Danio rerio: one gene and its partner. The protein of the gene in region 1 purifies or fractionates together with the protein of each later gene. This does not show direct contact. Links are inferred from orthologs where the notes say so. Each region holds a gene or a part of one and is shown in the gene's direction. Other genes may lie near its edges. The genes, in order: rapgef2b and magi1b.

Evidence for each region.
Region 2: the proteins of rapgef2b (region 1) and magi1b purify together in Homo sapiens (co-immunoprecipitation; 3 studies listed by BioGRID and IntAct, with this or other methods). This does not show direct contact. The link is inferred for Danio rerio from reciprocal best matches to the Homo sapiens genes RAPGEF2 and MAGI1.

What each region holds. Positions count from the first base shown.
Region 1 is NC_133189.1:52,682,009-52,685,936, reverse strand, and holds the start of rapgef2b (rap guanine nucleotide exchange factor 2), read left to right. Parts: upstream 1-1,088; 5' UTR 1,089-1,618; coding exon 1,619-1,687; intron 1,688-3,928. UniProt on the Homo sapiens protein: Functions as a guanine nucleotide exchange factor (GEF), which activates Rap and Ras family of small GTPases by exchanging bound GDP for free GTP in a cAMP-dependent manner.
Region 2 is NC_133186.1:21,133,598-21,137,425, forward strand, and holds part of magi1b (membrane-associated guanylate kinase, WW and PDZ domain-containing protein 1b), read left to right. Parts: intron 1-253; coding exon 254-439; intron 440-527; coding exon 528-1,163; intron 1,164-3,828. UniProt on the Homo sapiens protein: Plays a role in coupling actin fibers to cell junctions in endothelial cells, via its interaction with AMOTL2 and CDH5. May regulate acid-induced ASIC3 currents by modulating its expression at the cell surface.

The sequences.
Region 1 (3,928 bases):
ACCAGTCCCTGGTTTGTGTGTGTTTGGAGATGCAAGATTGCAAAATTAAAAATGATATGTTTACACATGGGGCGACACGGTGGCTCAGTGGTTAGCACTGTCGCCTCACAGCAAGAAGTCACTGGTTCGAGTCCCAGCTGGTTCAGCTGGCATTTCTGTGTGGAGTTTGCATGTTTTCCCTGTGTTGGCGTGGGTTTCCCCCACAGTCCAAAGAGATGCGCTATAGGGGAATTGAATAAACTAAATTTGCCATAGTGTATGTGTGAATGAGTATGTATGGTGTTTCCCCGTACTGGGTTGCAGTTAGAACGGCTGTGTAAAACATATGCTGGATAAATTGGTGGTTCATTCCACTGTGGCAGCCCCTGATTAATGATCTTGTCTACTGTCCTGAGTGTCTCTCAAGCTGGCCCCGGGCCATCGGGCAGTCCTTATTGTTGAGCCCTGATATATTTTGTCCCCAGCCACGTCGACATCTGTTAGATTATTTGCTATGTTTGTTTTAGAAAGGTACATTGCAACTGTTTTGTTTACATTGAGTTTTAAACAGGACTGGTTTAACCGTTCTGAGACATAACAATAATAATGATCTTTATTCAGGACGACTGTAAAAGCAACATTCATTCATTTTCCTTGGGCTTAGTCAATTTATTCATCAAGGGTGGCCAGAGCAGAATGTACCACCTTATTCGGCATATGTTTTACACAGTGTGTAAACACCTTCCAGCTGCAACCCATCACTGGGAAACATCCATACACACTCATTCATACCCATACAATTTGGCCAATTTAGTTTATTCAATTCACCTATAGCGCATGTCTTTGAACTGAAACCGGAGCTCCCGAAGGAAACCCACACCAGCACAGCGAGAACATGCTAACTCCACACAGAAATGCCAACTGGGACTTGAACCAGCGTCATTCTTGCTGTCAGGCGACAGAGCTAACCATTGAGCAATAATACAGTATAACCTTTTCTTCAAAGCTGCAATTCCACCATCGTCCAGCGGATGTCGCCAAAACTCCACGTGTTGTGAGTAAAGCGCACTGAGGGCGCATTACAAGCATTGTGCTGAATGGACTCGCCCATGAACCTCTTGAGGCGCTCGGTCGGTCACCATGGTGGTGGCGGCGGCTTTTACAACAGCAAGCCCAGACAGACAGCAGACCATCCGTCGCTTCTAGACACTGAAACACTCAGTATAAATGCTGCTTTTCACTCTCCGCTGCTTTGGAAATCACTTAAAATGGACACTCGCCAAAGCGCGTGCAATGGACATTGTTTTAGGATGGAAAACTGAAGATGGAATAGCGAACAGGGGACAAACGGAATGCTGAGAAATGCACTCGTCTGCGTAAAACAGAGCTAAAACTCACTGCTTAAAAATCTCCTCTCAGCGTCCGGTTGGAGAAGCTCCAGCGGCTGGAAGAGGAAAAAGCAGCCGGTCTGGTGCCTGTGGGATCGGGTCGAGGGACATTAAGAAAGCTCCTGGCTCAGGCTGTGGCCTGGGGACAAGACAAGCTCTCTCTGCAGCTTCCGAGAAATAAAAACTGGGTTTGTGCCCCCTTCATAAACAAACCACTTGCGTGAGAGATCGGCTGTGGATTATCCAGGAGCATGGCGTCCTATGTGGATAACAGTTTTCGGCAGGCGGTGATGGTGAATCCGTCAGACAGGACGCAACAGGTCAGTCTTTAAATCATTTATTATGTGGCTGTTAACTGTTACAGTATACGCTGGGTTTCTGCTGTGTGTCATGTGGAGGAAATTAATGTACCCTTATAGTGTTGACAGTGCTGTAGTTATGCTACTTTACACGCGTATCTGAATTCAATTGTCCTAATAAGCTTATAAGATATTCGCGTTAATGTTATCTTCAATGTTTTTGGAGTCTATTAACATCAACATGAATGTAAACTTAGCATCGTTCACAACTAAACACGCTTTGTTTTCATGGGAAATAGTTTAACATGACTTAAATGTTGAATATAGGAAGGTTTATATGTTTAGCACAGCATTTTTGTGCGGTTAGCCTATGATTTGGAAGACGTTGCTATGACATTTGCTGTAACGTTATAGTCTCCACCCTTTGGTGGGCTCAGTCGGCGAGAGAGGAACATTATCTTATTATTACTTTGCTGTGAGGATATTGATATATGTAAAAGTCGAGATGAATTTGCATTTTAGTTTGTGTTATTTATGTTAGTTTGGGATCATTTGGAGAAACTAAGATAACGATTCGATCCTAGTGAGTCGCTTTCTTAAAGTGACAGGCTGCTTTGTCAGACATAAAGGAAGACAAATGATTCTTCTATTGTACATCTGGATAATTAGATTTTACCTCCTGTTTTATATCAGCTTACGGTCATTTTGATCCAGATTGTGTGCTTTTTACCTTAAATAACCGAATAGGGTCTATGTTTAAAGTGCATTTGAGGTCATTCTCATATAATAGAATCATTGTTTATTGTGTGTGAACGAGTCGGAGTTTGAATGAATCGTTTAAGTGAGCGATTCTGAATGAACTGATGCAGATTGCGCTGGTTTTAAAACCAAATGTAATAATTTAAGTTATATTTTAGTTATAATAATCAATTCAGTTACTTCTCAAATGAGCAGAGTGAAGCATTTCTGTGAATAATTTGGGGATTTATTCATTCAGCTATTAAAATCAATGCAGTTGGAGATAGGGCTGCAGAATATATTGATTCAGCATTGATATCACAATGTGTATGTTCACAATAGTCACATCGGAGAATATGCAATGTTGAGTTGGGATTATAATTGACCAGAAGAGATTTGTAGAGCCACTGCAGAATTTAACCATAATATGTTGAAAGTTTGTCATTTGTGTGCATCTTTATTCATTCCTGAAACTGTGTGAGGGTTTTTAAGATCGTTTAAAGCATTCAGGCACAAGAAATTGTACGGTTTGTAACTAATAAAGATTATTTTTTTGTAATTTAAATGATGAAGACCTATTTATTGTTATTTTACATTTAATTCTTCAATTAATTTACCTGAAAACTGTTAGGCTCCCCAGAAAACCACAAATGATGTCACTTAATCTTTGCTCCGTTGTGTTTATTTATGACTGTAGGTTTTGATTTTTATATAATAGATAATATCAAATATATATTTATATAAAATAATAAATAGACCTATGCTTGATTATTTTCAAAACCAAATTTAATAACCTTTATTTAACCAGGTGAGTCATTTGAGAACCAGTTCTCATTTACAATGACGACCTGGCCAAGAGGCAACATAAAACGTAGATACTAAGCAGCAGTGACACAATACAATAACAATTTCACTAATGCAGATAATAATATATATATAAAAAAAAAAACTAAAAACAAGCACTGTTATCTTGTACTATTAACTGGATTTAATTTTTAAAGGATGATAGTGGAATAAAAGTGTTGAGCTTTAAGGTCTGCTGCAGATGATTCCCATAGATATACATTAGATGTCGCCTGGCCTATTGTTGTCTATTGGACGGAATGCGTCAATAGCGCCGCCATCTTGCTACAGGGTAGCGCTCCTTTGAAATGAATGCGGGACCAAGGTACAGTGGAGGACTGTGGCCATCCAAAGCCAGAGATATACACATATACACATATATCTATGATCAGGAGTTTTCCTGGATGTTAGTGTGTAATTCTTTTTTTGTTTCTAATTACGAAAATTATAATTTTACATCACTTTTCTACATTGATGGATCAGTGACCGCACGGGCATTCCTGACAAGAAGCTTGTGTTTGTGTGTACCGAAATGTACTTTTCACCCTCCCTGTTAAATTTAATATAATCCGTGTCCTGAAACACACCTCCTCTCCTGCTTTCACTTCTCATACTGACGGAGGAGCAATTCGTTTGTGAATGAATCCCCCGAACGACTCTTTCACTAACGTTAGCCGACAA
Region 2 (3,828 bases), on another chromosome or scaffold:
AGATAGATAGATAGATAGATAGATAGATAGATAGATAGATAGATAGATAGATAGATAGATAGATAGATAGATAGAAAGTGTGCTCGTGAAGTTAACTTTGCTGCACAGCTTTTTCTTGAAACAAAATATTCTCAAGATTTGCTGTGTCCTAATACTCAAAGGTATACATAATAATCTTCTACACAGGGGCCAACAGATTTACCGTTGCCGATTGCCATAGCTCACTAGTTGTGCATCGCTTTTCTCATTGCAGGAGGTAAGCCATTTTTCACAAGGAACCCTGCAGAACTGAAGGGGACATTTATTAACACCAAGCTCAAGAAGAGCAGGCGTGGGTTCGGCTTCACTGTAGTAGGAGGAGATGAACCCGATGAGTTCTTGCAGATTAAGAGTCTTGTGCTCGATGGACCCGCTGCCCTTGACGGAAAGATGGAAACAGGTACATCTGAAAACCATGAACTCATAAACGCGTGATGTAGTCTAATCTTTGTACTTTGCTCATCGCAAGTTTTTTTTTTCTCCCTCAGGTGATGTTATTGTAAGTGTGAACGACACTTGCGTTTTGGGTTACACACACGCCCAAGTTGTGAAGATCTTCCAGTCAATCCCTATTGGCTCTATGGTCGACCTTGAACTCTGCCGTGGCTACCCTTTGCCCTTTGACCCTGATGACCCCAACACCAGCCTGGTGACTTCAGTGGCCATTCTGGACAAGGAGCCAATCATTGTCAATGGAAAAGAAAGCTACGACTCACCATCCAGCCACGGGAGCGAAACTACAGCTGGAGGCAGTAGCTTAAATGGCTCCAGTGATCCTCCTCGCCCCCATAGCCCTTCAGCAGAGGTGGCTTCCAATGGCTCTCATGGTTATCCCAGTGATGTGGTGACTTTGGCGTCCTCGATCGCCACCCAGCCCGAGCTTATTACTGTCCACATGGAAAAAGGCGACAAGGGATTCGGCTTCACAATAGCAGACAGCCCGTCTGGAGGAGGCCAGCGAGTAAAGCAGATAGTGGATTACCCACGATGCAGAGGCCTGAGGGAAGGTGACATCATCATGGAGGTGAACAAGAGGAACGTGCAGAACCTGACGCACAATCAGGTGGTCGACCTGCTCAGCAAGTGTCCTAAAGGCAGTGAAGTGACCATGTTGGTGCAACGAGGTAAGCTCACCAAAATGTTATGACATGAAAGGAAAAGTGAGAAAGGAAATCCAAAAGCATTAAAAAAAAAACAAAAACAAAAAAAAAAACGGTTGCTTGCATGGAAAAATGCTAATTTGCTGTTGATTTACTTATCCTCAGGTCAGACAAGATCCAGGTGACTTACAGTAGAGCATTAATAAAAGGTTTTTGTCTTGAACCTGGTGGCTTGGTTTTTCTTTAAATACAAATCATTGACTACAACACTTTCAGAATCACTATTATTTAATTTGTTTTGTCTGTTTTTCATTTATTCATTCTGAAAGTGCCGGTAGCCATTTACTTCCATTTTATGAAACACCAGGGACCAAGGTTTGAGCTAAAAATCTTTTAAATGTTCTGCTGAGGAAAAGAGTTACCTTCATCCTGAATGAACTGAGTAGGGAGGGAAACACTTTCAAATTTCACAACATTCCAAAGTTCATGTTTTGTAAACTCCAACTGGCAAATTTTTGTCTTGTTGACCTGGACAATAGTCGATCTTTATAAATGCTTCTACTAATATATTACACTTTTCTGCAATTCGGTAGATATAAGGTTAGATTTGCTGGATAAAACAAATCTAAATTTATATCTAGAGAATATATTACATATTTTAAATTGGTTTAATTTAGGAAATGTGCCAAATAGTGTGACAACATTAGAGCGTCTGTCAATATTCTGTGTGCTTAAAGTCTAGTGTAACCATCTTTAAGAGTATAGTTTTTATTTTATTACCAATATTTTATAATTTATTATATTATATTACAAGTATTTTTACTAATTATATAATATAATAAATATAAATATTCAAGGCAAGAAGGTCGCTGGTTCGAGCCCCAGCTGGGTCAGTTGGCATTTCTGTGTGGAGTTTGTATGTTCTCCCCGTGTTCGCGTGGGTTTCCTCTGGGTGTTCCAGTTTCCCCCACAGTCCAAAGACATGCGGTACATGTGAATTGAATAAACTGAATTGGCCGTAGTGTGTGTGAGAGTGTGTATGGGTGTTTCCCAGTGTTGAGTTGCAGCTGGAAGGGCATCCGCTGCAAAAAAAAAAACATATGCTGGATAAGTTAGCGGTTCATTCCGCTATGGTGACCCCAGAATAATAAAGGCTAAGTCTAAAAAAAAAATTAATGAATATGAAAACTAAATATAAAAATTCTAAAATATATATGTAAATCTCCCTCACGTTATATGATTTGATGTCATTTTTGATCAAAGTAACATCCTTACTAAAAATATATATACAAAAAAATCATACTGACACATTAACTTTCAGTTTGGAAGGGCATCTGCTGCGTAAAACACATGCTGGATAAGTTGGCAGTTCATTCCGCTGTGGTAACTCCAGATTAATAAAAGGACTAAGCTAAAAGGAAAGTGAACCAATGAATGAATTTCTGTTAGTTTATTATATTTTATAACATTTTTCTTTAAGGTTTTATCCCATAAAAGAACAAATTGTGGTTGGTTGGCTGGTTGGTTTAGAAGTCACTAAGGGCGTATTCACACTATGCTATACGAACCGTGCCCAGGCCCGTTTCCCGGATCATTTGAGAAGTGTAAGTGCACTGAATTGGGCGCAGTTCACTTGGGTTTGGCGTGGTACGCTTGTGTGTGAGTGCAAAATGTGCCTAAGCCCGAAACTGAAAGAGAGACATAACTTTTAGGGGCCGTTTCATATGGATTTATTAATAATTCTTACTGTTCAATGAAAGAAAAGTGTCATAGATCATTAAAGACGAAAACACTTCACTACACGACACCTGCGCACCTACAGCAACCTACTAATTCCTGCAGCACGAGGACTTTATGGTTATTTATGAGCGTCAAAAGTGGCAGATCTGTTTGGCGAAATATTTGACTGTGTCACTGCATCTCAATCGATATAACTAAAGAAATGTCCACTGCGCTGAGCAAGGGCGCTTACTCACTAGTGCAGCATCGATGACGTAATCGTGTCCAGGCCCGAATGTAATGTGACTACGGGCCGTCGGGGAGACGGGAGGGGGGACAAGCGTGCTTTGGCCCGGTTTAAGGCAACTGTACATAGTGTGAGTACGGCCTAAGATGTCACTGATTGGCTTCATATTTTTGCTCTTACATGCTGTAAGCTCCTTTCTCACATTTTTTTCCTCACTTTACTGTTGTTTTCATCTGCATGCTACACCTTGGAATGTGAACAGCATCCTTCAGTGTTGGCCTGGCTCTGTGCAGACCTTTATGGTTGAGTGTAGAGAAAGAAATATAAACAGAAAGCAGCCCGATTAAAGACTAACACATGTGGCTGTTCAGTTAGTGTTCATGAATGAAAGTTCATGCAGTTGAGATGAAGAGTGAATGACAGGAAAGTGTCCAGACTAAGATGCTCTGTGCCGATCATAAATATGAAGCCTATGGCTCTTTCTTTTCCCTTGAGGACCTAACTCAGCTGTCTGTTAACCCCCATATGACACTTCCACACTGGTTTCTCTGTCTGTCTTGAATTTTATGGTTGGAAAAAAGATAGAAATGTCAAGGTTACCTGTTTTTGGCTTGCAAAAGAGACTAAAAGAAAGAGATGAAAGAGGAATAGAGAAATGCAAATGCGTGAAATGAGAGAAAACACTGAATATACTCATTTGACTCTTTTAAAAAGTTTCAAGAG